Canis lupus familiaris: one gene and its partners. The protein of the gene in region 3 interacts with the protein of the main gene of each other region in a pairwise test. Links are inferred from orthologs where the notes say so. Each region holds a gene or a part of one and is shown on either strand. Other genes may lie near its edges.

Region 1 (10,316 bases), on a different chromosome or scaffold from region 3:
GGCCAGCTACTGCTGTGTGTCTTTGGGCGGGCAATCTAACCTCTCTGAGCCTTAGTGTCCCCATCTGCAAGCATTGAGAAAATGGTCCTACGTCCTTCCACGCAGTGTTGCGAGTTCAATGAGATGATGACGGGAAAGCGTGTTTTGCACTTTGTGGCACACAAGAAACATTTCCATCATTACTTTCACACAGACCCATGAATTAGGTTCAAACCAGGCGGCAAATTACACTACTGCTCCCAGCGCACCGCTGAGCACACAGTAAGTGCACCATAAATATCTGATAAGAGGCCCTAACCCCATCCCACCCATCAGCAATACCAACATTTTGGCCACGTCCTTCTCCCTCTCCGCCCCAACCGCATAATGAAATCGGACCGCAGGTCCCCATTAAGGGCCTTCCTGGATCCGTTACGACGGGCTTTCCAGGCACAGCGGAGCGGATACACTGATTCTTCATACATGCAACTAATTTCTACTCCACCTCCCCAACAGAGACACATGCTCCGTGCGGGTGAGGTCCTATGAGTGTCTATCCACCTGAATCTGATGGTTGCGACTGGGCGAGTCACAGAAGCTGCCTGGACCTCCGTTTCCTCACCTGTACGATAGGGACGGAAAACCTCAACGTTACGGCGTGACACATAAAATGGGTACGCGGCAGGTCTCCGCGGATTCTGCGCCAAGCCCACGCCTGACGGTGCTAACGTTACCATCGCCCATCTCCTGGGTCACAGACCCCCTGTGCAGTGAGCTGGGCGAGCACTCGGGATGGCTCCAGCTCCAGCAAGTGTGCGCTTTGATCTCACCTGTCCCCGCCCCCCCCAGAAGGTCAAGCACTTTGCACACAGTGTCTCGCCCAACTCCCTCACTGAAACCTCGCAAGACGTCTCCCCGTGGTGCCCAGGGGTGCCCAGGGAACGGGGAGCAGCCAGTGCTCCTCCCGGGGTGCTGGACGCCCCCAGCTCGCCCGCCGCAAGGCTCCGCCCCGGGCACCCGGCGCCCTCCGCAGACACTCGCGTTTATTTACACGCGCCCCCCCCCCCCATGCGCGGCAGGGACCCGGGCCCGTAGAGGGGGAGGGGGAGGGGAGGAGAGGAGGACGGAGGGGAGGGGACCGCAGAGGGAGGGGGGAGGGGAGGGAGAAGGAAGGGGAGGGGGAGGGGAGGGAGCCGCAGGTGGAGAGGAGGAGGAGGAAGGGGAGGAGGAGGGAGCACCCGCGGGCACGGGCCGGCGCTCCTGGGGCCCGTGCCGTCCCACCTGGCTTCGCTCTCGGTGTTCCCGCTGCCGGGACTTCGCCGCCTTCCGAAACGCCGCCGCCATGTCCGCTCGCGCTCCGGAGACAACGCCTGCCCCGCACCGCCTCGGCCGCCGCGTCCGCCGCGTCCGCCGATCCTCCCGGAAGTAGGCCGAGCGCCAGGGGCTTAGAACCGCCCACTTCCTCCGCGCAGCCTATCCGGCGCCTGCCTTTCCGGAACTTCGTCCTCCGGCAGAGGCGTCCAGCCCCGAAGCTGCCTCTGGGAAGTGTAGTTTCCTAGGTCTAATCCCGTGACTCTGCGAGAGTCCGTTCTCATTCGCCAGAGCTTGGGCACGTGTACCGAGATCTCGTTTTCGCGCTCGGCTCCGCGTTGGCACCTGAGAACACGTGGCTGGCACTGCCCTCGGGCTGAGCTGCGCGTGGAGTGTGCGCATGCGCGGGCCCCTGCCGCCCTACTCCCCTTGCTCTATTTGCGCGGTGCGGTTAAAGGTGGAGTCGTGTCAATGTTACCCTGCACCGGAAAGAGCACCCTAGAGTCAGGAGGCCTTAAAAGCCATGTTTGGCTCTGCCACTTACTGGCCGTGTGACTGTAGACAGGTCTCTTTAATGAGCATCATTTTTCTCGACCATAAAACAAGGATAATGATAGTGTGCTCTGCTTGCATCACAGGGACAGTCAAGAGGCTCACAGTAGAATGGAGGAGTTCTATCCTAGCAGTAGTGATAAAATTGGAGCCCTTCACACCCTCAGGGAAATGGCTAGCTGGGAGGACGAGTGTCAGAGGCAGTACAATATATTAGGGCCAAAAACCATAGAGGTGTGTTCTGATCCTAAACTGCCACCCACCACGACAAAATTAGCTCCAATGCACCTCAGTCTCCCCATCTATAAAACGGTAGTAATAATGCTACACCCACAGAATTGTTGTAAGGGATTAAAGGAACTAATATGTTTAAAGTGCTTAATGCCGTGCTCAGCCCTTAAACAAGTTCACAATCAATGGGAGCAATGGTTGTGGTTGTCATTGCTAAACCTACCGGTAAGGATAGAGGGGCCCGTACAGCGGAGCATTCAGGGGCATCTGGTTTCTTTTCCATCACATGAAGCTAACCCTAAGCAGGTTCTGTGCACCCTGTCATGACAGGTCTCGGCCCTACAGCTGAAGCGCTCTGAGGAAATCCTCTCCTCAGTCCCAGGAGGTGCCATTCCAGTAGATGGGTGGGCATGACAAAGCTGAAAGTAGCTGAGATGTGTCATGTGCAAAGGGTCCCAGACATGAACAAGCGTCTACTTCATTCGTGACGTAACCACTGAAAGACAAGGCCCTTCCTGATTTGGCCCACCACTCCAGCCTCAGCCCGGTTAACGGGACCCAGGAATCAGCCTTGGATTTGAACCGCATATGCACCACTATCAGCTTGGATTTGGGGCCACATTGTCAAATTCCCTGAGTGCCACATCCTACTCTATCATATAGTGGTAATAATATAACCAACCCATATAGCTTCTGTGAGAACCCAAGGAGGCCAAGGCTAGCACTTGGCATAATGGCCCGCATGTAGTCAGCATTTAGCTCTTCCGCTCACCTCCCCTCCCACCCCCCCACCCCCCGACCCTGCATACTCTATGGAAGTCGCTTACTTCACCTTCTACACCCATGGAGCATTGCCAGGCTTGGGGTCACGAGAATAGTGTTCCTGGGCAATCTGAAAGAGGGTGTCTGCTAAGCCATGAGTCCTGGCAGGGGCTCCAGGCAGCCCAATGGGTAAGAGCAGGCAATACGCCCAGAGAAGGAAGGAAGTCTTCTCACTGGGGAAAGGAAGGCTTGTGATCACAAGCATCAGGGAGTGATTCAGCACCCAGAGGAAACCATAAGAGGCCTGTCAGTTGTCACCCAGGGCCTCCTTTTAAAAAACGCTTCCAGGTTGAAAGAATAGCCAGGAGACCCTGAGCAAGCTCCCTTCCACCACAAGATAAGGAAAGGTGTATAGGGGCCTCCTGGGTGGTGGAAGGGGAACCCAGAGCCCACTCACCCAAGGCTAGTCATCCAGCAATCAGGCTCTTCTTCCAGCCCCAGCTCGGACACACCTGTTCCCCAGAGGGCGGGGGAGGCCTGATGGGAAACAGGAACAGGGAGTCCATGTGGCTGATCCCTAGACCTCCCTAAGGCACGTAGTCATCCTGGGCCAATGGAAATGTGAACCCACTGGGGAGCTACAAATGGGAAGGGGAAAGGACATAGCCCCTGCCCTATACCAGTGTCCCTCCCCCAGGCTAGGCCAAGCCAGAAATCTAATTTTCTCTAACCTCCAATCCAAGCAGCAGAACCTTAACACTTGACCGTGAAAGGGAATGTATTGGGGCAAAGCAAATCCCACATATTCAATACCTGTTGTATACTCTCCTCCAATATTCGCGAGAATGCTGTGAGTCAGGGAGTCAACCACTCTTAACCGATGAGCAGCCGGAGGGGTAAAGAGGTTGAGTGACTAAAGAGGCTGCAGGTCTGGCCAGTTAAGCTCTTTTTGGCATAAGGAGCTTTGACATTTGACTGTCTGGATTTGAATCCAGGCTTTGCTGTTATTAGCTGTGTTGCCCTTGGCAGGTTACTTACTCTCTCTGTATTTCCTTTTTTTTTCATCTTTAAAATAAGGATAAGAATACACATTTCATACAGTTGTTGGATAGTCAAGTGCATTAGTGTATGCAACGTGCTTAGGCAGGGACTGGTGCAAAGAACTTGGGAAATGCTGGCTCCTATTAAGGCTGTTCAGCAGAGATACAAGCCATGAGGAAACACTAGAGACCCCAACTCTACCTTTGATCCAGCAGCTTCCTTAGTCATACCCCTCCCTCTCTGAAAGCTGCTCATCTTTGCTCTCCCCTCACCTCAGAGCCCTTCCCAAGGCAAGGAGCCTCCTACACCTAGATGACAAAGGCCAGAGAAAGGCTCACCCATGCGCTGGCTGGTCACTCCCTGGACTCCAGGTAGCAGGTACCTGAGGTCCAAACTGGGGTGGGGAGGAGTTGAAACTGAAGCAGCGTCTGTCATTCATTCATTCGTTCAATATTTATTATATGGCAGACATAGGAGTAGGTACTGGGAATGTGGTAGTGAACAAGAAGAACCCAGTCCTGCCCTCATGGCCTCATGACAATCTAGGCATTAGGAACAATAACCAAGCAAATAGTTTAATTTGGGGAGGAAACCTGGCCTCGACGGTGACTTGGGATCCGGGAAGACAGGAATATGATTTAGAGATGGGAGAGGAAGGTATTCAGGAGGCCTGGCCTGGGAGCAAATGAGTCTCTGTTCTGAGAGCTTGGCTAGACCCAGCCTGGGGGATGGGAGAAGCCCTGTGGCACCTGAGTCTCTACTCTAGATGCTGAGGTTATTTCTAGAGTCAGTTTGTTGTCTCCTGTTTTGCAAACAGTACAGCACAGCCTCCTCCTCCCTTCCCCACCCTTCTAGATCGAGGCTATTTATGCCTAGTGACAAGCCTGAGGATCCCAGGGGGATTGGCCCAAGGACCTGGAGGGGCCTTGTGTCCCTGGCAGGCAGCAGTCCTCCCTCCTGGGGCGCAGGGAGAAAGCCAGAGGATTGGAAACTGTAGAGGTGGGGGAGGAAGGGTTCCCTCCACTTCCCTCCACCAACCCTGCGGTGCCCCATCCGCGCACACTCTTCACACCCCTCCCTGAGAAACCCAAAAACCATGGGGCCAAGGATTAGGGTCTCCCCTGGGCCTCAAAGGTCATAACTATTCCTGGGCACTGTGGAAACCCAAGGCCGAACTTCTCTGTCCCAGGGTGCCTCCGGAGGTGAGGAGGTGGGGGGTACTTCTGTTTTTGCCACTCAAAAGTTGTGAAATCATTGAAGGTCAAGGCCCAGTCTGGGGTCAGGCGGAGGCGGAGGTGGGGGGGTCCCTTCTTCACTCCCTGTTTCCAGAGAACACCTTGGTTCCCATTGATAGGGAGGGCCGTGACAGCAGAGTCAAGCCACCTCACACACACACACTCCCGGGCCTCCAGGCTTGATTAAGGCCCCTTTACAAGCTGGGTCTAGGTGTGACCCTGAGGGGATGAGCTGGAAGGTGGGAGTGGGGGCGCACGAAGAGGCCATGAGTGAGGACCCCAGGGGACTTGGGTGGGCTGGGTGCCGGCCCCCGTGCTGGAGATCGAGTGCAGCAGGCCGTCTCCAGCGGGCTGCTGGGGGGTGCAGGGGGTGCAGCAGGGGAGGGGACGGCGGAGGCGAGCAGGGGACGGGGGCGGGGTCCCGGCGCCGGGGAAGGTCGGGCGAGCCAGGTTAGACCCGCGGGCCCGAGGGGGGGTGTGGGCGGGGTCTGGCCCCCGGCCTGGGGGTGCGGGGCGGGGGCGGCCGGGGGCGGGGTCCGGGCGGGGCGGGCCCGGCGCGCACTTCCTCGGGGAGGGGTTGGGGCCGCGCTCCACTCGCCCGCTGGGTCCGTGCGCTCCGGCAGCGCCGCCGGCCGCCCGCTCGCCCCGCTCGCCCCGCTCGCCCCGCCCGCCCCGCCCGGCCCCGCTCGCCCGGCCCGCAGGTACGAGCCACCGAGGGACGCGCGGCCCGGCCTCCCCGCTCCCGCCGCCCGCTCCGAGGTGAGCTCCCGCCCAGGCCGGCTCCTCGCCCGGGGCCCCCCGACGCCCCGGGGGGCGCGCTTGGAGCGGGGGGCGCCGAGCCCCGGAGGGCGCCCCCCCACCCCCGGGACCGCCCCGATCCCGGCCGCCCGGCGGGGTGGGGGGGGCTGCTCGACACCTGGGGATGGGGGGGGAAGGGGCCAAGTTTGAAACGGAGAAGCCAGAGTCGAGCGCGGGACCTGGAGGGTTGGGGAAACTGAGGCTCCCTGAAAGCCGGGCGGAGCCAGACCAAGACGCGGGCCCGCGCGGCAGGCTTGGACAGGGGGCTGCACGGGGACCCGAGTCAGGGAGTCAGGGACAGGTTCTGGGGGCGTAGAGTCCCCGAGAGGGAGACCGGAGGCGTCTGGACGGACCTAGGTTTTGTGGGTTGGAGCACTCGAAGGAGAAGCGTCCCCTGACCCCGGTGAACACGGAGCAGCGCCCTTCCCAGGGCTTTGCAGGGTCCCGGGCGGTGAGGGGCCCCGAAGCCTAAGCTTCCTTAGCCCTGTGGCAGATCAGCCTCTGTGAGGCCTATGGAGCCGTCCAGAAACTGCAGACAGGGACGCTCAGGAACAGAGGTGCTCCGAGGAGGAAGCGAAGGGGTCGGGGTGGGAACCCCTTGGAGGCACTCAGTTACGGAGATTTGGGTGTACAGAGGTAGAAATGAGCAGAGGTCACTAGCCCGGGACACAGGTCCCCAAAACACGAAGACAGCTGAGGTGTGCAGAGGCTCAGTCGCGCTGCGTGGGGCGCAGCTGGCTTTGCTCGAGGCGCCCTGACAGCTTCCCAGACAGACCCCGAGACACGGAGGCCTGAGAAAGACTGGGAAGCAGGGGTGCGGGGAAACAGAGACTCTGGGCCAGCCAGAGCCCCGTGAGGCAAGGACCTGAGACAGGCACGTCGGAAAGGAGCCCCAGGCACACACCAAGACAGCCCCAACTTATTTTTAAACTCAAATCATGGACATGCTGCTTCAGCCCTGGGGGACCCGGGGTGAATGAACTGTTCCTCTCCTGTCCCCAAGGCAGCTGCTGGATCCCGCTTCCCGCCCTCCTTCCCCTAAACTGCTCTGACTCCCAGGCCCCATGGCGGGGAGGGGTGGGGAGAGGGAGAGTTTGGGGTTGGTGCCTGATACCGGAGGTTGGGGGCTGGGGGGGGTTAGGTTTCTCCCCTTAAATCTCCTGTCAGTTCCTGGGAGCTGGGAGGAGGGGTCTGATCTGATCCTGACTCACAGCTGTGAGGCCTGGCCAGGGTCCTCCCCGACAGTGCAGGGTGGATGGGGGCAAAGGAGTTGAACGGTTGGCATGGGCAGTTGGAAAGGCTTCTGGGTGCCTTCCAATGGCAGGGTTAGCAGCTGGGGGAGAAGAGTGAGACTCCTGTGCTAGTGATGTCACCGAGTATCTCCCACACCCCTGCTCTTAAAATGTTGACCACCCCGTTTTGCCACCGCTGCAGCATTTTTAGAGAGAAAAACAGGAAAGGGCTCCAGGCTGGGAAGCAGGGAACCTGGGCTCTCCGAGGCCTGAGTGACCTTGGGCCTGGCTTGTCCCTGTGCTCGACTGTAAGATGGGAATGACATGCTCTTCTGCCTGCCTTTTGGGAGATCTGGTGAAATAGTGGATGGGATTTCTCTTTATGGGAGGCCAAGCAGCATGCAGGTGTGTACACCTGTGTACCTGTGTGAGGGGTCTCAGGAGTTATGCTCATTGGCACCAGGCCGGCCCCACTGATCTCCTCAGGCAGCCCCACGGCCTGGGCTTCTTCACTTCCCCTAGTGGAACTGGGGAGTGGGGGTGGGGGTCCCTCTTTGGTCTATCCCTGAATCTACCCTGAGAATGTCCAGGTCAAAACCCAGGCCAGCTCCCTGAGCCAGGCCTGGCTCAGAAATTTGTCTGACCCCCGTATGAGTGAGGGGCTGATCATAAAAACGCCCACAGCTACCATTCACTGAGGAGTCCCTTTCTGCCAGGTGCTTTCCAAGCACCACCATTTCAGCCTGACGACAACCCCGGGAGAAGGGGGTAGGCGTAGAGGAAAACAGGCCCAGGAACCTTAAGTGACTTGCCCAAGATCACCCAGCTAGTAAGGGAAGAAGTCAGGATGCCCACCCCAAGCCACATTTGGGCCTACTATACACTGTGCCACAGCCATTTATCTAGCCATTCTAACCTCTGGGAGGCTCACTGGAAGGTGCCAGATGTGTGTGTCAGGTGTAGGGGTGGTGTGTGTGTGAGTGTGTGTTTGTGTGTGTGTTGAGGACAAGAGTTGAGAGCCATTTGGCAGACTGAGCAGTCTCCTCCGTAACCCCCCCTCCCCAGGCCATGAGGGAATATAAGACTGGTTCTCTTCAGTTCTCTTGCTGTGCCAGGGAAAGTGGGAGGGAGGGGAGGAAGGGGGATGGGCAGGGACAGGTGGGTCTCCATAGTGCCCTTCACTCTGTCCTCATTAGAGCCCAGCTGGACAAACTAGGGGACTGGGGGATTCTGGGAAAGAAACAGAAGCCATGCCCATACCCTATTTGGGGTGCCCCTGTTTCAGAGTGATGACTGCCTCCCAGAGGGTGGCCCCAGGGCTACCCTGGGCCCGGGAAGGTGATGGCTGCTGTGTGCCAAGCCAGAAAGGAAGGAAAAGATTTGGGGCACTCCCCAACGGACCACGGCCACACACTCCACCTGTGTGGCCCCCTGCTGCCCAGTGGCCCACAGCCCAGGCAACCCTCAGATGTTGGGCCAGAGGAAACCCAGGCCTGATTGGCGGGGAGCGGATGGAGAAAGAGGGCTGCCCTCTACCCCACAGCATAGCCCTGCCCCAGAATCACCTCTCTGAAGACCCCAGCCCCTGGAGGCCTCGTGGCCTGGCCCGGGATCGGAACTCTGTGTTCCCCCCACTCCGTGGTACAGAAGGGCAGCTTGGAGTTCACAAACCATCCCTTCAAGAGCCAGGCCCTCCAGGCTTGGGGCGTTTGCTGGCGCCTGGAGTCTGAACTCCAAGCCAGAGCAACGCTTCTTGGCCAGAATTTCCCACTGGGGGTGGCTGAGAAAAGGAGCACTTTTCCATCAACCCGAGCCTGGGCAGGCTCCGGGGACTGCCAGTTACTGGGGTGTGTGTGGGGGGGGAGGTAGTGAGCTGGTGGGTTCCTTTGTCCTCTCCAGGCTCCTCTGCAGCTGTGAGAACATCCCCTTCCTAGGAGTCTTGGTGGTTCCTCTCCACCCTCCCTGGGATCCCAGCCCTTAGAGAGCAGGCTTCATGACGAAGGAGGCTGGGGGTGGGAGCTCTGAATCTGGGGCCAGAAACTGGAGTCAGGGGCAGCAGAAGGGACTGGGAACCCCACTTCCCTGCCCCCCCCCCCCCAGTCCCCTTGCTCCTGTTCCAGAGGCAGCTGTGTGGATGACCTCATCCCGCAAACATGCTTTGTTCCTGAGAAAATGGAAAGTGTCTGAGGTTTGGTGGGGGCTGGGTGTCTGCAGCAGCAGCTCGCAGGGCTCCCCCCTGCCTGACTCCCCACTTGAGGGGGCCAGATTGGGGAGAAGATGTCTTCCATGGCTCCCACTCTCTCACCCTCCACTCCCCCCCCTACCCCAAACCCTCAGAAACCGGAAAAGCTGGGGAGAGGCTGTTTCTCCCAGAGGCAGGGGGAGGGAAATAATGACCTAGGGGGTTGCAAAGCTCTGCCAGGAGTGATGGCTGCCTGGAGATGGCAGGGGACACGCTGCATCATCTATGTTTTTAGTTCCCCTCTCCCTCCCCAGGCGTCTCAGGTTCCCTTTTTTTCCTCCCCTGTTGCTGGCCAGACCTGACATCTGGCCATCTGTGCTGCCACAGCTGCTGCAGATGTTGCAGGCCGAGGCTGCCCAGGCTGGTGTGACCAGAGACCCAGCAGGGGCTGGAGGGGGCTGAGGGCAGAGGGTCCAGCTGGGGAAGCTTGGCTGTGTCCAGCTTGCAGGATTTCCTTCCTGCTTAAACCCAGGCTGAGCCTCTGAAGTGCTTGCTCTGGCTGATTCTCCCGGAGGGAGGCCCGAGGTGACGTCCACCTCCACCATTCATGGCCCAGCAGCCCTCCAGCAGTCTGCTGGCTCCTGGACCAGGAGAGGGCGGGCACAGCCCATTCACATCCCTCGAGGTTCCTCTTTGCATATACCTAGGGGCCCCTTCCTGGGAGTCAGGAGAGGGTGGGAGTACTGTTCCTACGGGATACAGAGTGGGGTGGCTCCCTGCCCCTACTCTCGTCCCCATGGGGACAGTAGGGACACTGGAAGCTAAACTCAGACTGGGGCAGGAAATGAGTCACTGACCCAGGAAAAGCCCCCTCCCCCCAGATCTGCCAGGGCCCAGATAAGAAAACAACTTCTGCTTCCTGATTTTTTCCTGACCCCTTCTCCCCCCACCCCACCCCACCCCACTGTTAAATACAGAAATAAACATGCAGGA
Region 2 (10,316 bases), on a different chromosome or scaffold from region 3:
AAATGAAGTATACCACGAGGTAAAAGAGGCAAAATTAGCCTAAACAATATGTGGTTTGGTTTGGCATATTTCTGCACTTAAGTTCATGGAATCAACCCTTATGTAGCCTTCATGACCTGCTTTGTTCTAAGCTTATTAGCACATGAGACTCCTCTCTGTTCACCTGTGGATCAAGAGTTGGTCACTTAATTGATTGAGACACCCAGGGCCCCACATGTAAGCATTTTAAATCATTTATTTTCAGTATGGGGCCTCTGCTGGAATTTGAAAGCAAAGTCTCACCTTAACATTGTCTTACATCTGACTCAAATAATTTTTTTCTTTTAAAAATGCAAATTCCAGGGCAGCCCAGGTGGCTCAGTGGTTTAGCGCCACTTGCGGCCCAGGGCCTGATCCTGGAGATGGGGGATCAAGTCCCACGTCAGGCTCCCTGCGAGGAGCCTGCTTCTCCCTCTGCCTGTGTCTCTGCCTCTCTCTCTCTCATGAATAAATAAACAAAATCTTTAAAAAAATAAAAAGTAAATAAAAATGCAGATTCCGGAGGTAACTGGAGGATTCTTAAGGGTCGGATTCTTGATTTTGGCTCTTGTCATGACCTCTGGCTATGGGATCGAGCCCCACATCAGGTTCTGCACTAGATGAGGAGCCTGCTTAAGGTTCTCTCTCTCCCTCCGCCCCTCCCCCACTAAAAAATAATTTAAAAAATGCAAATTCCTCTGGGGGCACTATACGGCTCTCCAGTCATTTTTCTTTCTTACCTTTCTTTTTTAAAAAGTCTCCATTGATTTTTCATTAATTCAGTCAAATTGCTCTCTTCCTCAACCTAACTCAAGCCAGTGCTCTGAAGGAAGGAACACTGGATACCTGTATCCTTTCATAAGGACACACAGGGACACCTGCTCCCTGACAAATACCCCCCATTTGCTTCATTCATCGTGGATGGAACTGGAGGGTATTATGCTGAGTGAAGTAAGTCAATCGGAGAAGGACAAACTTATATGTTCTCATTCATTTGGGGAATATAAAAAATAGTGAAAGGGTATAGAAGGGAAGGGAGAAGAAATGGGTAGGAAATATCAGAAAGGGAGACAGAATATAAAGACTCCTAACTCTGGGAAACGAACTAGGGGTGGTGGAAGGGGCGGAGGGCAGGGGGTGGGGGTGAATGGGTGACGGGCACTGAGGGGGGCACTTGACGGGATGAGCACTGGGTGTTATTCTGTATGTTGGCAAATTGAACACCAATAAAAAATTAATTCATTATTAAAATAAATAAATAAAACAAATAAAATCTGAATGCTTTCCCTCTAAGATGAGGAACAAGTCTCTCTTGCCACTTCTATTCAACAGAGCAGGTAGGCAAAAACACAATGAAAAGCATCCAGACTATAAAAGTAGTAAAACTGTCCCTATTTGCAGATGACATGATCTTGTATATAGAAAATCCTAAGTATCCAACTAAAAAACTATTCCAAGTAATGAATGATTCAGCAAGATTGCAGAATGCAAGATCAGTATCCAAAGATCAACCGTATTTCTATACACTAGTTACAAATAATCTAAAAATATTTAAAACAACAATCCCATTTATTTATTTATGTTTAAGATTTATTTATTTATTTTAGAGAGACAGAAGAGGAACAGAGGAGGAGGAGAGAATCCTCAAGCACATTCCCTGCTGAGCACAAAGCCCAATGTGGTGCTCCATCCGAGGATCCTGAGATCATGACCTGAGCCAAAATCAAGAGTCAGAGGCTTAATCTACTGAGCCATCCAGGCACGTCAACAATTCCATTTAAATATCATCAAAAAAGAATAAAATATTTAGGAATTAATTTAACTTCCCTCCCTAAAAAAAACACAAGACGTGAACACTGGAAAATATAAAAGTCATAGAAATAAAGACCTAAGCAAATGGAAAGACATCCTTCACCCACTGACGACTCAACATTAAGATGGCAGCACAGTACTCCCTAAATTGGTGAAGAGTCAACACAGTCCCTGTCAAAATCCCAGCTGCCTTTTTTGCAGAAATTGACAAGCTAATCCTAAAGTTCATATGCAAATACAAGGGACCCAGAATAGCCAAACCAATCATGAAAAGGAATAAAGGTGGAGGGCTCATACTTCCTAATTTCAAGACCTACACAAAGCTGTATCAAGAAAGTGTGGTACCTACATTAGGCTACATACATACCTACATACATATCAGTGGGATAGAACTGAGAATCCAGAAATAAATCCTTACATTCAAAATCAACTGATTTAAAAAAAAACAAAACAAAACAAAAACAAACGGAACCAAACCAAACCAAAACAAACAAACAAAAAACAAAATCAACTGATTTCCATCAAGGGTGCCAGGACACTCTGATAGGGAAAGAAAAATATTCCCAATAAACGGCGTCAGAACAAGTGGATGTCTAAATATGCAGAGAATGATGGTGGACACCTAGCACCCACATACACAGAAGTTCACTCACAGTGATCAAAGACCCAAATGTGAAAGTTAATGGAGGTGCCTGGCTGGCTCAGTCTGTGGAGCATGCAACTCATGAGTTCAAGTCCCACACTGGGCCTAAAGCTTACTTAGAAAAAAAAAAAAAAAAAAGTTGTTTAAAAAAAAAAAGAAGTTAAAAATTCTTAGAAGAAAGCAGGAGTAAGCATTCACAACATTGAATGAGGTAATGGTTTCTTAGATATGACACCGAAACATACAACACCACAGCAACAAAAGGAAATGATGAACTGGACATAATGAAAATTTAAAACTTTTGGGCTGCAAATGATGCCAATAAGAAGTGTGGTCAACAGAATGGGAAGAAATATTTTAAAATCATATATCTAATGAAACTCTTAAAACTCAATAATAAAGATAACTTTTTTTAAATGGGCAAAGGATATGTACAGATATTTCTCCAAGTGGGGGATAAGTATGTGAGAGGATGCTCTGTATATTGTTAACCATCACGGAAATGCAAGTCAAAATCACAGTATCAGGGCACATCTACCACAAGGCTGTAATAAAAAATACACAAATAACAAGTGTAGGCAAAGATGTGGAGGGATCAAACCTCTCACGCTTTGCTGTTGGGAATGTTAGAAGGTGTAGCCACGAGGCATCTGGGTGGCTCAGTAGGTCAACGTCCGCCTTCCGCCTTTTGGCTAAGCTCAGGTCGCGGTCTCTGGGTCCGGGGTTTGGAGTCCCCGCAGGGCCTGCTCGGTGGGAAGCCGGCTTCCCCTGCCCCGCCTCCCCGCCCCACCCCTCCGCCGCTCCCCTACCCTACGACTTGGGGGCATGCACGTGCTCTCTTGAATAAATACAATAAAGCTGCAGCCATTCTTGAAAACAGTTCGTATTCCATAAAATGTTAAACACGGTTATCGCGTGACCCCGGCTTTCCACTCATATACTCTTAGGGAAGCGAAAACCTAAGTCCACACAAACACAAATCCAGATGTTCACAGCAGCATATGCACGACGGCCAGAAAGTGGAAACAGCCAAATGTCAGACGATGGATAAATGAAATGCACACACTGGGTGACGGGCCCTGAGGGGGCACCTGACGGGACGGGCACGGGGTGTTATTCTAGATGTCGACAAATTGAACACCAACAAAAAATAAATGTATAAAAAATAAAAATAAAAAAATGCACACATGCGTATGATGAAGTGGTAACCAGCACCGAGGACCGAATCCTGACGCCCGCGGACAGCGCGGCCTGGAGAAGGCAGTCCCGGGCGATGTCCCGGTCGGTCTCCGCTCGCACGAACTGCCCGGGGCAGGCGGGGGCAGGGAGGCGGGCGGGAGTCCGCGGTCGCCGGGGCTCAGGGACCGCGGGGAGTGGGGACGACCAGCCGACCGCGCTCGGGCCTCCCCCCAGCAGGACGGGAGCTGCCCCAACGGAGACCGCAGTGGCGCTTCTACGACCCCCCGGGGCTGCAGCGCGAGGACCCCACAGGACGTGGGGGATCCTCCGTCAGCTTCTTGACAAAAAGGACGCGCCCGGAGGCGGACGGGGCGACGGGCGACAAGGGCCGTGCGTGTTTCACACGGTGACCCACACCTTAGCTGGTCTTCTGCTGACGCGGCGACCGCACAGCGGGGCCTAGTCTGCCCTGACCGCCCCGGGGACGGCTGTGCGGTGAGCAGGACGGGCCTTCCCCAGCCCGTCACGTCACGGTCCTCGGCCTGTCCCGTGTGCCGGCCCCGTCCCCCGGCTCCCAGCGCTGCTCCCCGCCGGGACCCGAACCGCACCTCGCAGCTCCGCTCGGCCGGCTGCCCTCGTCACACCCCCAGGGCACGGGGGCGCCGCGGAGAAGCTGGGTCGCTCCGAGGGGCCTGACTGGGGCTGAGAATCAGGCGGCAAAGCCGGGCCCCCCGTGACCGCGGCGACACCTCAGGAGACCGACCCCGCGGGGTCCGGGGGCCACCGGCCGCACCGCCCGGGCGCACACGGGAGCCCCGGCTCGGTGTCCCTCCCTCCCGGCGCCGGGCGCGCGCGGCCCCTCGTCGGCGGCCACGCGCACGCGCACGCGCACGCGCACGCTCACGCTTACGTCGGGCGGCCACGCGCACGCGCACGCGCACGCTCACGCTTACGTCGGGCGGCCACGCGCACGCTCACGCTCACGCTCGCGTCGGCGGCCACGCGCACGCTCACGCTCGCGTCGGCGGCCACGCGCACGCACCGACCGGCTCGCGTCCCCGCCGGGAAGGGCTGCCGCGCGGGAGGCTGCGGTCGGCTGAGGTGCGGGCGGACGGAGCGGGGAGCGGGGGCGAGGGAGGCAGGGGCTGGCGTCTGCGGGGCGTCCTCGCGGCCCCGTTCTCCTTCCAGGGGTAGAGCTTGACAGGGGCCGGGGCCGGGGCCGGGGGCCGGGGGCAAGGTCTGCGGGGGTCCCAGGCCCTCCCCGCGGCGGGACCGAGGGGCACGGATGGGGGCGACCCCGGGGCCTCCGCACCGGGGACTGGGTCTGCAGGGCGTCCCCTCAGTGCCGTCCCTCTTCCAGGGGTCGGGGGGGTGAGGTCTGCTGTGGGACCCAGGGGCGCGGGCGGGTGCGACGTGCAGCCCTTGCCCGCAGTCGGCCGCAAGGAGCCGGTGCGCACAGTTCCCGCAGGTGTGCCCGCAGGTGTACCCGGAGCCGCCCCGAGATGTCGTACATGCTCCCACACCTGCACAACGGCTGGCAGGTGGATCAGGCCATCCTGTCGGAGGAGGACCGCGTGGTCGTCATCCGCTTTGGACACGACTGGGACCCCACGTGTATGAAGATGGACGAGGTGCTGTACAGCATCGCGGAGAAGGTAACACAGCCCCCCGCCCAGCGTCAGCCTAGGAAGCTGTGGTCTTTGGTTTGCCCCGTTTGCTAGGTGGCTGCAGGGTTGGAGTGAGGTGACCGCGTGCAGGTCCTCCTCTTCCTCCAGGCTGCAGAGGCGCAGCAGGGTCCAAGGGCCTGACCCCCGCGTGGAGGCTCCAGGCCTCAGAGGGTAGGGTGCGGCGGGCTCAGGGGGCCTGACCCTGTGCCCCGAGGCTACGGTCCTTCCGTGGGAGCAGTGTGTCCCTGGTCTCCAGGTTTTGAAGGGGTTCATGGTGCCACCTCCACGGAGCTGGGAGCAGCACACCTAGGGACTTCGTGGAACGCCATTTTAGCCAGGTAGCTGCACAGGATTGCCAGTTTTTGGTGCTTTGCTCCCTGTGTGTGGGAGGCAGTCGTGCCTGTCAGGGGAAGGAAAGCCTGTTCTCCATCCCGGTCTTTGTGCCCTAAGTGCACTCCTAGCTCAGACGTGCTCTGGGAGACTTGCCTGGTTGGACCCAGTCTGGGTCACCATGCTGGCACCCTGGCTTGTCGGAGGCTCTGTTGGCAGTTCCAGAACCAGCAGCACCTGGTGCTCTCCTGTGGGCTCTGTGGGCTCATTTCAGGAGAACTTTCATTTGGATGTGTAGTTGTAGCCAATTCATAGATTACTTACTGATATTCCGTAAATAAGGAGAGGTCAAGAGTAATGGAAACATTAAAGCCATGATTTCTTTCAGAGGAAGAAGGGCTTAAGATAGCTCAGTACATGGTAACAGGTGTAGGGACAGATGTGTCTGGGAAAGGCGAAGTCTCGGGGGTCAGAGCAGGACCCCACATTGAGGTTAGTTCACTAACAACTATCTGACCTTCCACTGCTACTTTTTCTGATCTCCTGTGTGGCGGGAGAAGCCAAGCGAGGCCGGGTGGTAGCACTGGGAACCGTGGAACTGTGGAGGCCGTCTTTCCGGTCAGTCACGTGAGGATCGCTTGGAAGACTTGCTCAGGTGCACCTCCGAGGTTCTCGTTCTGCAGGTCTGGGGTGAGGTCCACACACAGCTCTGCCCAAAAGCTGCCCTGGGAATTCTGAAGTGGCTTCCAAAAACCACTTGGCAGAGTTCGGGATCAGAGTAAGGGTGCTGGGAGACTGGCCGTTCCCTTTCTCTTCTTGGGGAGCCTGAGGAGGTGCCTGGGGAGCTCGGGAGAGCTGCGGCGCCAGTTTGTCGCGTCAAAAGCAGACACTGCTGTGGTCAGTGAAGAACCACCTCCAAGCACTTTCCTGAGAAACACCATTGCTGCTCTGTTGACCTTGAAATAACGTAGGGTGTGTGTTCTGAATTGTGCGGGGCATGTGGGGGCATAAACACCAGGTGGTGACCAGCTCCTGCTGCCCTCGGTGCAGGGTCAGGATGGTTAGAGACGGGAGGCTCCTTTGGCTCTTCATACCCAGGCAAAACCCAGCAAGACGCTCTTCTTTGGGAGACAGATTTTGTGTTAACCTGAGCTCTTAGGGACTTTCAGCAAGTTGTTTGTTCTTTTCCCATCCCTGTGTGTCAGCTGTAGGCTGGACTGCGGGATCACTGAGGAACGCACTCTGGGATCGAACCTACTGATAAGAACAGTTTAGTTGGGCTCACTTTGAGTATTTGTCTTTGTTTTATCTTTAAGGTACTTTTTCTTTGGTCCAAAAATTTGGATTTCTGTTTTAATAAACTTTTAATATTATATAGTACAGTTATTAGAAATGCAAACTTGAAACTCATCACAAGATAATTGTTTTATTTTCTTCTGTGTAAAGGCAAAACATGAGTTTATAATTCTGGAAGTCCTTCTTGAGCTCAACAGGAATTTTTGAAATTTAAAGTTTTAGTATAAAGAACAACTTAACTATCTAAAAATCTCCCTCTGCAGAAATGGCAGATAGTGGGGGATCTTCCTCATCCTGTCTCGAGCCCTGTTTGGATACCCCAGCTGTTTTAAAGTGAGTAAAAGTTCCACCGTTTAGGCTGGACTTGATTAGATTGTTTCTCCGGGAATGTGGTGTGTTGACTTGATGCTTTGATGGTGCCAACCATCATGAGGCCACCACCTCATGCTGTATTAGTTTTGAGCTGCCCTGAAAACATGGGAGGTAAGCTTAATGATTTTACAGATGTCTGGAGCTTGGTAGAGTGGTAATAACAAAGTTTCCTATTTAAAATCTGATTTTATGCACAGCCTCAGGGAGAGGCTGTGTACCTCTGAGCTGTCTTACCATTTTGCAGGAACAGTTTGTCACAGCTCGCTGTTAACTTAAACCCCACGATGGGGAAGAATAAATGGGACTTTTAATTTTTGCATGTTAAAAAAAAAAACCCATGCAAATAGTTTAAGATCTGCAAAACCTCGGTGACATCATTGATTCAGGATCATACATTCAAGAAAATTGTATATGAGACAAATAGACATGGAACTTTTTGGAAATGATTTTAAGGGATCATTCTTAAGTTGCATAAAGTAAATTGAATCTTTCTGGAGGTGACGTGCAGTCAAATGAGGTATCTCATACGCGCCAGGAACTTGTGTATGTTTGCTATGGCTTTGTGTTTCTGGGTGCAGTGACCTTGGAGCTAGCAGCAGGCTATGAGGGGCAGCATGGAGTGCTGGTGTCTGCTACGTGCTCCCCGTGTGATCCTACATAACTTGTCTCTGTGCCTCACTTTACTGTCTGCAAGAAAGGGGTAGTAGTGCCTAACCCATTGATAGTCGTGAGGATAGAATTAGCATAACAGGCTTCTGGACCACTTCCTGTCACGTGGCAGGTAACACAGGCAGGAGTCATTAGCCACTGTTATCAGTGACCTCGTCATTCACGTTACAGAAGTTGCTAATCAGGCAGACAGCTTGGGAAAATAAAGTCATTGCGCAGTATTTTTGAGGCTTCGACGTGAATTACCTAAAAATGGACTCTTTGGAACTAAAATACATTGTGCCAATTGACAGTCCAGAACATGCTCCCCAGCTTCCTGGGTGGGTTCTTAGCTGGAGGAGCTCTGTGGGAAAGGTTGGACCGGTGGCCTTGTGCTGCCCTTCTTGCCTTAGTGATTTGCGTGAGTCCTGTCGACTTGGAAACAGATTTAGTGGCATATGATGAAGGACGGCTGCACAGCTTGGTCAGTGACTTGTTGAAGGAAAAGGAGGTGTGCTTATAAAACGTGTAGGCGGGCAGCCCGGGTGGCTCAGTGGTTTAGCGCCACCTTCGGCCCAGGGCATGATCTTGGAGACCTGGGATTGAGTCCCACGTTGGGCTCCCTTCATGGAGCCTGCTTCTCCCTCTGCCTGTGTCTCTGCCTCTCTCTCTCTCTCTCTCTCTCTCTCTGAATAAATAAATAAATCTTTAAAAAAAAAAAAAAAAAAGAGGACTCCCATGGGTAGAGAGGCAAAGAACCTAAAAAAAAGAGATCCTAGTGGTTAAGTAAGCTTCAGAGATGCACACGTTGAAGTAGCATGCTGCCGTTTCTCATACGTCAGAGGGAAGGAATTTACTGCAGTGGTGCCGAGAGGGTTAATACTGACACACTTCTGGAAGCAATTGGGCATCGCATGAAAGGCCTTAGAACTCAGTAGCCCAGCTCTCCAGTCCTAAAGAGGACTCTTCTGCTCCACGGGACATTTGCTGTGATTTCTCAGCAGAGCTGGAAGCAGTGAAAGGGTCGGTGATAGGACAGCAGCGTGACGACTGTAATCTCTAGATCATGAGCAGGTAACCCCCGTGTGACCTTCACATCCCTGAGGCAGGTACACCAGGTCACTTGTTCAGGCTGCGAAATGGACAGTTGGGATTTGAATCGGGAATGTCTGCTTCACCCGATAGTGTATTATTTGGCTGCTAAAAAATTATTTTAGAAATCATGTAGAAAAATGATTTTCTAAATACTGTGGGCATTTGCTAATGATGTCAGCTGGAGAAAGGAGGGCAAACATGACTTCCTCACACGTGAGTGTGTGGGCCTGGGGAAAGGGAAGGACTTTTCACTACAAGACACTCCTATTGATTTTATTTGATTGTTGTATATTTTTAAGTTCTGTAACTTGTTTAAAAAATACTGGGCTGGAGCACCTGGCCGGCTCAGTCAGTGGAGCGGGCGCTCTTGATCTTGGGGCCTTGATCAAGATCACGCATTGGGGTTAGAGTTCACTTAAAAATACGGGGCTGGACACATGGCAGTGGTTTTTCCATTCTGTTTCTCTATTTTCAAAGTGAATCTTTTTTAAATAGAGAAAATAGAGTAGACCCCTAGTTTCATTTCAGTTTTATAAAAAATACACAGGATTGTAGTGGATCACAGATTCCCTACCAGGTGTGACACGGGTGAAATAGATGAGACTGTTGTGGAAGGGCTTGAGATGAGAAGCCATGTAGCCCATGTTAGGAGAAGCTTTGGCAGACGGAGGCTGTTCAGAGGAAGGACACTGTCGGGCGGCCCAGAGTTGGAGGAAGGCCCCAGAGCCGCGGGACGGCCATCACCTGGCCACGCTCCTGATGGCCACCCCTCCCTTTGCAAGGACTTGAGCTGCAGGAGCTTGAGAGCCTCCCAGGAAGGCACCAGACCATGCCTGAAGGCTGGTCTGCTTGAACTCCAAACTCAGGATGACGTCACTAAGCTCACACTGTCCAGAAACACATTTTTAGTGACATTATGTTTCTTGCCTTTCGAAATACAAGTTTGTTGTTAAGATTCATTCAGTAAACATATTTACCGGTGCTGTGTGTGAGTCCGGTACAGCGAACTCACGGTGCCCAGCCTCAAATTTGCCTGCAGAACCATGATGTGATTCATATGGATGGGAAGGAAACAAGTAGTGGGTGTCACTTGGTGGTTTATTGTACTTTTTTCTTTTTTTCTTTTTTTTTTTTTTTTTTGAGAGAGAGAGCATGTGAGTGAGTGGTGGGAGGAGCAGGAGGGGGGGCAGAGGGAGACCCCAGCAGAGACTTGATCCCACGACCCTGGGACGACCTGAGATCACAGCCTGCGCTGA
Region 3 (10,316 bases):
TTCTCTCGGGACCTCCAGGGCCTGTGTCCCCTTTTTTAGTAAACAGAGAGGACGTACCTTGGAGCCCTCCTGCTACCTGGCCGGAGTGCTGTTACTCTAGCCAACATCCCAAAACACTACTTACAGGCGTTCCCCCATCGACCCCCATAAAGTCTGGGTGAGAAGGGACTGGAATGCCTTTTCTGCATCAGCTGTAACCGCGGACGAACAGGAGGAGACAAATTAACTATGTGCTAGATACTTTATACATTCTTAGTTATTCCTCACCCTCTTTATGAACTATGTGGAATTAAGTCTGTGATGGTGAGATCGAGGCAAAATGAAATAGGTAAAATTTCCCAGTGAACCACATCGAGTGACATCCATGATTCAAACCAATGGCCATGTTTTTCCTAAGATAGATATATATATATAAAATAACGTTATTTTAAGGAGGATGTGGAGAAAGAGGCAAATCAGGGACGGGGGCTGGCTTTGTGGGAAAGGGTTTACAATGTTGTCCGATAGAATTTTCTGCAATAATGGAAATGCACTACAGCTACACTGTCTAATTTGGCTTAGCTGCATGTAGCTGTTGAACACTTTGAAATGTAGATGGTGCAACTGAGGAACTTTTTAACGTTAATACTAAAACTTAAGTAGCCATATGTGGCCTCCATATTGGACAGTGCAGAAAACCTAAATCCCTACCAGCCAGGTTCATAGGAGGGATCAGAAATAGGCAATAGCCTGTGCTAGCCCATGCTAGCATCACGTACCCTGCCTGCACTGACCATTCAGGTTTATTTCAACAAAAAGTCCAGCAGTGACCCCACACCTGTCTCAGCTATACTAAATAACCAAGACAAGGGACACCTGGGTGGCTCAGCGGTTGAGCATCTGCCTTCAGCTCAGGGCGTGATCCCAGGATCTGGGATCAAGTCCCGCATCAAGCTCCCTGTGAGGAGCCTGCTTCTCCCTCTGCCTGTGTCCCTGCCTCTGTGTGTGTCTCATGAATGAATAAATATTTTAATTAATTAACCAAGACAAGAGTTGGAAAATAGGGATACCTGGCTTGGCTCAGTCAGAGCATGTGATTGTTTATCTCAGGATTGTTAAGTTTGAGTCCCATGTTGGGTATAGGTATTACTTAAAATAAAATCTTTAAAAATAAACCTTTTTACAAAGTTGGAAAATGTTAGGTCTCTCCCTACCTTCTACATCCAGAAATGAGGAGGCTGACCTTCACCAAAAAGACCTCCAATAGCACTATAGCCACCATTTAAGAGTTTATTATGACTGTTCTAAGCATTTCATATATCACCTCAATTTAATTCTCACCTCAACTCTGTGAAGGTTGAACTATACTTCATAAATAAGAAACTGAGGCTTAGAGAGGGTAAGGGACTATACAAGGTCACACAGCTAAGTGGAAAAGTATTCCAACCTAGCCATTAACTAATATTCATTCTTCTATCAGGCCTTTAAGATTGTTTGATACACTTTTAGAAAATTTCAAACAAGACTTGTCTTAGACCTCATGGAAATGGCAGCAGGGCAATAGATAGCCTGTGATGAGTATTTCAGGTAAGATGTGGAAAAGGACCCGATCTTAATGTAAGAAAAAAGAGGGTGGTGACAACCCTAAAGAGAATCCCAAACTACTGAGATTGCTGTTTGGATAATGCCCCTTCCAACAGCTCTTATTTTTTAGATTCTAGTTAGATATGCAAAAGCAGCTGGCAGCACTTTTGAAGACCGGCAGGACAATCTCCCCAACTGTAAGCCCAACTAGCCTAGAGTCAGGCACTGGCAAGGTCACAGCTAAGACTTTGCCCATCCTCCCCATCCTCCCACCTCAGGCTCCCTCAGGTAGCAAGAGAAGTCTGTGTCTCCCTATGAAGGATACACTATTCCAGCAACCCTTATAGGTCCTTAGAGGAGGTATTGGCCAGTTAGGCCCTAGGTCTGGTAGGGGTGGAGGGTGAGCAGGAAAAGCGGAGGCAGATAGGACCAACCCTACCTAGCTGAAATGTCTGCTCCTACTGGGATGGCTGGTCAATAAGAAAGAATAGAAGTAGGGGTGCCTGGGTGGCTCAGTCAGTTGAGCAGCCGGCTCTTAATTTTGGCTTTAGCCATGACCTCAAGGTCATGAGATAGAGCTCCCAGAATCTACTTGAGTTTCTTTCTCTGCCCCTCCCTTCCCTGGGCTCAGGCATACTCTCATCCTCTCTAATATAAATCTTTAAAAAAAAGAGAAGCATTACCCTTTGACATCTAAAAAAGTGGCACAATTCCAAAGATGTAAAGGGTATGAAGAGGTCACCAATGGTAGGAAAAGACCAAATATCCATTTAATGAAAGGCTCTGAGGACATGGGGAGCAGGATTGATATACACCAGGGGCATTATTTCTTATTTTACTCAACTCTCTTCGAAAGCCAAAATCCTCACCAACACTTTAGTCCCTGCCTCTACACTCCTTCTCAGTTATTACATCCCTATGATGAGGAGTTTCCTTCCTCCCCAAACCTTAGCCTCTCTGAGCGCCAGCCAGGGAATGCCAAAGCCCCAGGAGGGAAGCTGGGTCAGCATGTGGAAGCTGGCCACTAGAGGGTGGTGTTTCTGTAGTTAAGGGGATCTTGAGTCTACAATCTTGGATGGGAGTGGCAGCCAACTGGTACCTGCATAGGAGAGCCTAGCAAAAAGGTGGGAAAAAGTAAGTAGTAAGTCTTCAGATAATGGTCCTCCTGAATGAGTGAGGAGTAAGGAATAGGAATAAGGTAGAATGCAAGAGCCCTGATTCCCCACCAAAAGTCATAGTCACCACTCCTTGGAAAAATAGATACTGGCCCCAAGCATTCCCCACATACAGAAGTCAACCACAAAAAGATTTCTCAGTTTATTTGCATATATACATTGTCACACTAGGGAGCCAGCTCCACTTCAGGAGTCCCCAGCTCCCTTCACCCAGCCAACACCCAAAACCTGCACAGAAGACTGAGTCCTAAATAAGCAATGCTTAGGACTCATATGCCAATCTTGCAAGTTATAACAATTCATTTAGCAAAAACAGAGGACTAGAGGCCAGTGCCCATGAGACATCCTTGCCCCATTGTAAACATTGACAACCAGGCCACTGGAGCCTGGAATAGTGTGCAAACATGAGGGTACCACACTGTGCGACCAGAGGACTGGGGACACAGCTGGCAACCATACCCGTGAAGTCCTAAGGGCCTACACCCGCTGGAGCCTGGCAAGTGCCAGGGGCAGAATCAAGGCAGCTACCCAATGCCTGAGGGCTCACATGAGCCGGCAGCGGCGCTCTTGCCCATAGGAATTCTCTACCCGAGCAATCTCCTGTATGACTTTGGTGAAGATGCCTCGGGTAAGCTGCAAGGACAAAGATTCGGGCAAAAAAGTCAGTTCATTGCCAATACGACCCAGCTCAGAGGTGTAAACCCCACTCCCCCACCATCCCCACCACCAAGCAGTGCCATAAGAAAAACACTACTACCCTGATCTTGCCCCTAATCTTCAGCCCAAGCACCTGATTCTCTCGAGCAGATGACTCCATAAACGTTGCACCCCAGGACTCTGCCAGCTTCTTCCCTTCAACTGCCTGCACCTCCCTAGAAGCAAATTGGGGATATGAAGATGGAGGATAGCAATGTCCCCATGTTCTCTACAAAATCGTTATATAGAATCTAGACTTCTTCTGACCCAACCCACTTCCAAGGTTTGGGAGGTGGGTTGGGGAAGGAGAAAATAAAAGAGAACCCAGAAGTCTCAGACTGAGGCTAAATATGAAAGTATAGCTTTTGCAATAGAAGGGTTATCTTGTCTTAACCTTCAAGTTAGAAGCGAAAGGAGGTGAGACAATTTGTTCAAGTCCGCGGCAGAGCCAGGACTAGAACCCGACTGGCTGCTAGTCCATCTCACTTCCCTTTGCCTTGAGCCATAGAGATCTCCTTACCTGTCTGGAGAGAGATCGGCCTTATTCCCCACTAGCACCACTGGCAGCCTGTGAAGAAATACGAGTTACTACAGGATACCCTCCGCTCCACATGGAACCCAACTCCCCTCGCATCAGGGCTGGACAATTCTCCCAGCAGGCCGGATAGGCTCTGAGCTGGCCTCCTCTGTAACTTGGACCCTCCCCTCTCTTCCGTCCCGTCATGTCCACACTGTGTGTCTGCTTCCCAGGGCCACTTACCGTGTTTTCCCATGGCCTTCGTGTAGCTTTTGGTACAGGCTCGCGATGACTTGGAAGCTTTAAACACAAGGAATAGAACCATAAATTTATTCTGGGACAGCCCTCAGATCCTCCCAAGTCCCCACCTCAATGTTGGTCACTTACCTGTGCAGAGAGGTAACAGAGTACACAAGCACATAACCGTGGACCCCAATGATGAAGGAATAGGGCAGGATGCTGTACTCGTCCTGACGAGAAACACAAACATCAACACTAACCACGCAGCGCTCAGATGCCAAAAGGCTGGTGGGCTGCGTCCTGGGGACCCTCTCTGGGGCACTTCCTCCTGCAGTCATTTCCGTTTGACCAAGTACGTACAGAGTAGCTCCCATGTGCACGGCACGTTACCAGCTGCTAAGATGCTTTCCTTTTAATACTACTTTACAGATGAGCCACAGAGGCAACCAGACTTCCTCTCCCCCGACTGGACTGCCGCGTTTAGATACTCTACCCCAAGTTTAGATACCCTACCCCAAACTGGTACCTGCCCTGCTGTATCCACCAGGTGTAGGTGAAACTCATCTTTGCCAAGAGTCACTATCTTGCTGTAAGCTGAAAAGAAAAAGAAAACTTGACTATGAGTTGCCTTGTAGGGCTAGCAATGTGTGCCCCGATATGTTCTGAACCCTAGGGATAACTCTGATGGACCAGCTCTAGGCGGCTCTCCAGGCAGCTGGAGAGACAACCTTCAGGTTCTTTTTGTCTAGTCGACACCATCCTGGATGCAGTATCCTGCAAAACCCATACTCTAGCTCCACTAACAGGATTGCTACAGAAGAGATTAGATCTAATGGCTAATTAAATCAGCCCCTTGGGACCAGAAAAATCCCAAATTATGGAATTGGGTGGGGCAACAAAGACCTCCCTGCCCCACCCCTAGGGGAGAAATCTACTCACTGTTCTCCACTGTAGGATCATAGCCTTCCAGGAACTCGCCCTCCACAAACTGATGTGCCAAAGATGTCTTCCCTGTGGGAAGCAGCGGTAGTTGTAGCCAAATCATCCAACCACATTCACATCCTCTGTCCTTTCGGGCTGTGGCCCAGGACTAAAGAGGACCACACGAGCAGCCCAGCCTGCGGGTGCCATGCAATGTTTTTCCTTAGCCCACCCTCACTCTCTCTTCGCCTTGGGTCTCTGCACCCTAGCCACCGGATGCATTCAGCAGCGCCGCAGGAAGCCTTTCCTGCCGCCTTTCCCCACCCCACCCCCGGGAAGATCCGGGATTCCCCTAGGATCAAGTCTGCCCCGCACCCGGACACCTGAGACGGGCCCCGCACAGACCGCGCCCCCCCCCCCCCGCCCGCCCCGCTCAGCATCAAATCCTGACCCCATCCCCACCCCTCCCAGGGTAACGCTGGGGGTCACTCTGTGTTCCTGCAACCAAGCCCGCGTTAACCCTTGCACGCTCCTACTTCCTTCAGCCCTCCACACGCCGCCACCACCCCAGCCTTTCCTCCTCCATCCTTTCAGTCCTCGCCCTACAACCCCGTTCTAACGATGCCACCATTCCTCTCTGGGTCGCGTTCCCGCGACAGCGCGCCTCCTCTGGCCACAAAGCCGCGGTGCGTCCGCGCTCTCCCCGAGGCGGAGACTCACCTACAGAGCGGTACCCGAGGATGACCACCTTCCTGTAGCGAACTAGCGGCATGGCAGGAGCCGGCCCCGAGGGGCTTGCCGAGCTGCGGGCTGCAGGAGCCCCAGGAGGAGGAGATCAGGGGGTGAGGCAGGCGCAGCAACCGGCCCAGGAAAGTCGCTCACTCCGGAGCTGCCAGGGACCTGCTAGAGGGAAACCAAAACAAGCGCCGCGCCCGGAGCTGGCCACGTGATCACAACACAGCAAGACTAACGCGAGGGAGCCGGGCGCCGGGGGATCTACAGTGCCGCGCGCTCCGGGCTCCGCCCCCCAGGCCGCTCGCCATTGGCTCGTTAGAAAGGACGAGGGCGGGGCCGCCCGCGGGAGGGAAGGGTGGGCCTCACGTGGAGCCGGAGAACGCGGAGCTGCGCCTGCGCAGACTAGAGCCGGTTCATTCATAAAGAAACAGAAAGGAACTCGGGGTCCTAGAGGTGTTTGCGCATTTTCAACCTCGCAGAAGTGGCTGCGAAGAATCATGCATGGAAAAATACCCGTTGTGGCGGGGCGGGAATTTCTGGTCAGAAGATTCTAGGCTGCCCTTTTGCGAGGTCTCTGCAGTCCTTGGAGAGGGAAGAAAAGGCCCAAGTTCCGCTCTATTACCTCTGCTTCCCCCAGATTTCGGCCCCAGATCTTTTTTATTGTTTCCACAGATTTCACAGTCTACCAGGATTTTTTATTGTTTCCACAGATTTCCACAGTCTACCAGGATTTTCGGAAATGCGATTGTTATTCGTGAGGAAGTCGTCAGAATGTTTGGCCAGGTCGTCTGAAGTTTGGTTACCATCATCATAATCAATGCATTCATTTATTCAACAAATATTTATCATGCAGGTACTGTATGCTGCAGGCATTGTTCCAGCTTAGGGGATAGAGCAACGAACGCGACAGACAAGGTCTCTGTGCTCACAAAGCTTAAAACGTAGTTAGAAGAGACAAACATATAAACAAGGAAATATTAGATGGTATTGAGCGCTATAAAATGTGGTAAAATAAGAGATGACCGCATTAGATTGAGTAATACTTCCTCTCAAAGGAATCCCTATTTAAACTGAGGTCTGAAAGACAGAAAGGAGCTAGCTAGAACTAAATTCTGGCAGAAGAATCCATCAGGGCTGTGCGTGCTGCGATGAAAATAAATTCGTTAAATTCTAGGAGAAAGGGAGAGAAGAGTTTATGTCAGCCTAAAGCAGATCAAGTCTAAGATGATGGCAGAGGGCCAGGCCTTGCAAAGTTTGGGTATCCAAAAAGCAGCAGATGATTTGAATATCTGAATTGTGTTTCTGAAAGGTTTCCCTGGTTTATGGGCTCCTGGGTGGTTCAGTGGTATCCCAGGTCTGGGGATCGAGTCCCACATCCAGCTTCTCATGGGGAGCCTGCTTCTCCATTGGCCTATGTCTCTGCCCTCTCTGTGTGTCTCTCATGAATAAATAAATAAAATCTTTTAAAAAATAAAGGATTTCCCTGGTTAAAAAAAAAAAAAAGAAAAAACAACCTCTCTGTGAAGAATGAAGCTGACGGGAGCAAGAGGAAAAGCTGGGAGATCAGCTAAGAGCCTTACTTGTAGTCCAGGTGAGAGGGAAAGGGGGCTGGAGTAGGCTGGTAGAGATGAATGAAGTAGATAGAGAATTCCAGGTATGTTTTGAGGCTGAGGTCAAAATGACTTGCTAAAGGACTGAATATAGGAGGTGAGGGAGGGAAAAAGAAGAAAGAAAACAACAGCTAGATTTATGGTGTTCTACTTTGTGCCAGGTGCATTGCATTATTATGTTATTTAATATTCATAACAGCCCTAAAGTTGATAATTGGTATTATTTATCCATTCATCAACAAATATTTATCAAACAACAATCATGTCCATTCTAGATGCTGGAAATAGAGCAATAAACAACACAGACAAGGTCTTTGCTCATAAGGAGCAAATATTCTTTTGGGAGAAGACCAATAATCTACAAATAAACAATAAATAAGCTATAATAAAAAATAAAAGTAATCACTGCAAGGGGGGAATAACAAGGTATTAATGGGCTAGAGAGTGATGGGGTATGGTACTCCGTTTATATGATATCTTGAGGAGTGACATTTGTACCTGAGACTTGATGATGGGTAGCTATTACGACTCTAATTTTACAGATGTGAAAGCTGAGGCTTAGCCATATAGATAGCACACAGAAGTTATTTCTTCTGAAAGGGCCTGTTGAAGTCTCAGGTAAGTTAGATTGTACTAGAGGAGAAGTGCTTTTTTTTTTTAAGATTTATTTATTTATTCATAAGAGACACAGAGAGAGTGAGGCCGAGACATAGGCAGAAGGAGAAGCAGGCTCCATGCAGGGAGCCCAATGTGGGACTGGATCCTGGATCCTGGGATCAGGCCCTGAGCCGAAGGCAGACACTCAACCACTGAGCCACCCAGGCATCCCAAGAGAACAGGCTTTGTATAACTGTGGAACTATCTAATGCTTTACAAAGTCAAATCTACAAAACTTGTTTCAAAGAGCCACTTACTCTGGCCTCTGAAAGGGACCCAAATGCCTTTTCAACTGGGTAAAGGAAGTTCCTTGCAGATTAGCAATTTTATGTTGAATTATTTGGCTTGAGTGAGCTTGGTGGAGATTTCAGATTGAGTCTTAAGCACTACAGGGTAGAACAAAGAACTGGATTTAATAAATTCAACAAAAATTTGTTCATCTCCTGCTTTGTACCAGATACTCTCACCACGTGTTAGCACAGTATGGGTATAAAGATAAATGAGATGCCTTTTATGCTGTTTGTCTTTCCAGATTAACTCTCTATTCTTTTCCACCCAGATTGGTTTCCAGGAGGCAGACCTTGCTGCCTGCATCCCAGCAGAATTCAGTCTAAGGGAAACCCTCACAGAAGCTCAGATGGAGTGGGGAGAGTATCTGTAACCCCCACTGAAGGTCCTAGCACCCTCACATCACCCCCCATACACACACACCCATACACACTCCCTCTTGTTCTGTTTTCTGGTTGCTCCCTCCCCTTCAGGCCTACATGGGTAACAGCTGCTCTGATACTCACCCTAGGGTATTACTTTACCCCTGTGGTTTTCCTACACCCTGTTCGCACCTTTGTAAATATTCTCTTTATTAAATCATCCTCAAATTCTCTTGCTTTCAATCAGGAAGAAAGGAATAGGACTAAGACAAAGGGCTTCCTCCTCTCGTGGCTTTTTCTTTTTATACAGGAGAGAAGATCTCACAGCAGATTTTCACCTACATTTCCTTAAACCGAACTATTATATGGCCATCTCAAGCTGCAAGAGAGCCTGGAAAAAATTTTTTTTTAAGATTTTATTTATTTATTCATGAGAAACATGGAGAGAGAGACAGAGGGAGAAGCAGGCTCCATACAGGGAGCCCGACATGGGACTCGATCCTAGGTCCTAGGTCCCCAGGATCATGCCCCAGGCTGAAGGCAGGCACTTAACCGCTGAGCCACCCAGGGATCCCTGAGAGCCTGGAAATTTTAACGTTTTCTTTTCTACCCTCTATAATAAAGGAAGGTTAAGAGAAGGTGATTAGGAATAAATGTTCAGGGAGCCAATCTACAAGACCTGCACACCTCAGGACCAAGATATGTGTTTATTAAATATCAATCACCTTAAAGAGTAATGCATCATTGGTTACTTTGTAAAGATCACAGATATACACAGGTCATGAATATAGAATCAACTAAGGAAAGTAAACTATCCTAATGGCAGGTAAATGGGCTTGGAATAAAATTTCTAGGGATGGCATCATATATTTTGCTATGTCTCAAACAACTGAGACAAAATAAAGATTAAATACTCCCAGAAAACTGTTTTAAGTATCTCCTTGAGAAGTGAAAACATTTTTACTATGTTTGTATCAAAAGTATGGGTTCTGGGGCGCCTGCGTGGCTCAGTCAGTTAAGTGACCAACTCTTGTATACTGTGGAACTACCTAATACTTTAAAAAGTCCAGATCTACAAAAGTTGTTTCAAAGAGCCACTTACTCTGACCTCAGAAAGGGACCCACGATCACCTCAGGTCGTGATCTTAAGGTCCTGGGATCAAACCCCATGTCAGGCTCCACACTCAGTGGGGAGTCTGCTGGAGATTCTTTCTCTCTTTTTGTCTCCCTCTGCCCCTCCCTCTTATCATGCATGCTCTCTCTCTCTCTCTCTCTCTCTGTCTCTCTCTCACTCTCTCCCTCAAATTATGTATTTATTTATTTATATATTTTTTATATATTTATTTATTTATTTTATATATTTTTTAAAGTATGGCTTCCAGGGACACTTGGCTGGCTCAATCTGTAGAGCATGCAACTTTGGACCTCAGGATCATGAGTTTAAGCCCCATGCCGGGCATAGAGAGTACTTAAAAACAACAACAACGATGACAAAACCTTGATGGTTTAAATATATATATTATTTCTCCTCACTCCGTGGGTTGAACTGGCA

What was found.
Region 1: the proteins of RHEBL1 (region 3) and FHL3 interact in binary tests that used the Homo sapiens proteins (3 or more experiments, as listed by UniProt). The two-hybrid records come from large-scale screens. The link is inferred for Canis lupus familiaris from reciprocal best matches to the Homo sapiens genes RHEBL1 and FHL3.
Region 2: the proteins of RHEBL1 (region 3) and TXNL4A interact in a two-hybrid assay, tested with the Homo sapiens proteins (2 studies listed by BioGRID and IntAct). The link is inferred for Canis lupus familiaris from reciprocal best matches to the Homo sapiens genes RHEBL1 and TXNL4A.

What each region holds. Positions count from the first base shown.
Region 1 is NC_049236.1:4,649,010-4,659,325, forward strand, and holds the start of FHL3 (four and a half LIM domains protein 3), read left to right. Parts: upstream 1-5,783; 5' UTR 5,784-5,870; intron 5,871-10,316. Other genes in the region: UTP11 (probable U3 small nucleolar RNA-associated protein 11), read right to left, coding at 1,261-1,323. UniProt on the Homo sapiens protein: Recruited by SOX15 to FOXK1 promoters where it acts as a transcriptional coactivator of FOXK1.
Region 2 is NC_049222.1:685,075-695,390, forward strand, and holds the start of TXNL4A (thioredoxin-like protein 4A), read left to right. Parts: upstream 1-4,641; 5' UTR 4,642-4,753; intron 4,754-5,111; exon of another isoform or gene 5,112-5,120; 5' UTR 5,121-5,154; coding exon 5,155-5,307; intron 5,308-7,208; exon of another isoform or gene 7,209-7,278; intron 7,279-10,316. UniProt on the Homo sapiens protein: Plays a role in pre-mRNA splicing as component of the U5 snRNP and U4/U6-U5 tri-snRNP complexes that are involved in spliceosome assembly, and as component of the precatalytic spliceosome (spliceosome B complex).
Region 3 is NC_049248.1:41,134,152-41,144,467, forward strand, and holds RHEBL1 (GTPase RhebL1), read right to left. Parts: upstream 6,125-10,316; 5' UTR 5,885-6,124; coding exon 5,833-5,884; intron 5,203-5,832; coding exon 5,131-5,202; intron 4,786-5,130; coding exon 4,718-4,785; intron 4,422-4,717; coding exon 4,339-4,421; intron 4,252-4,338; coding exon 4,195-4,251; intron 4,003-4,194; coding exon 3,955-4,002; intron 3,611-3,954; coding exon 3,496-3,610; intron 3,372-3,495; coding exon 3,282-3,371; 3' UTR 2,857-3,281; downstream 1-2,856.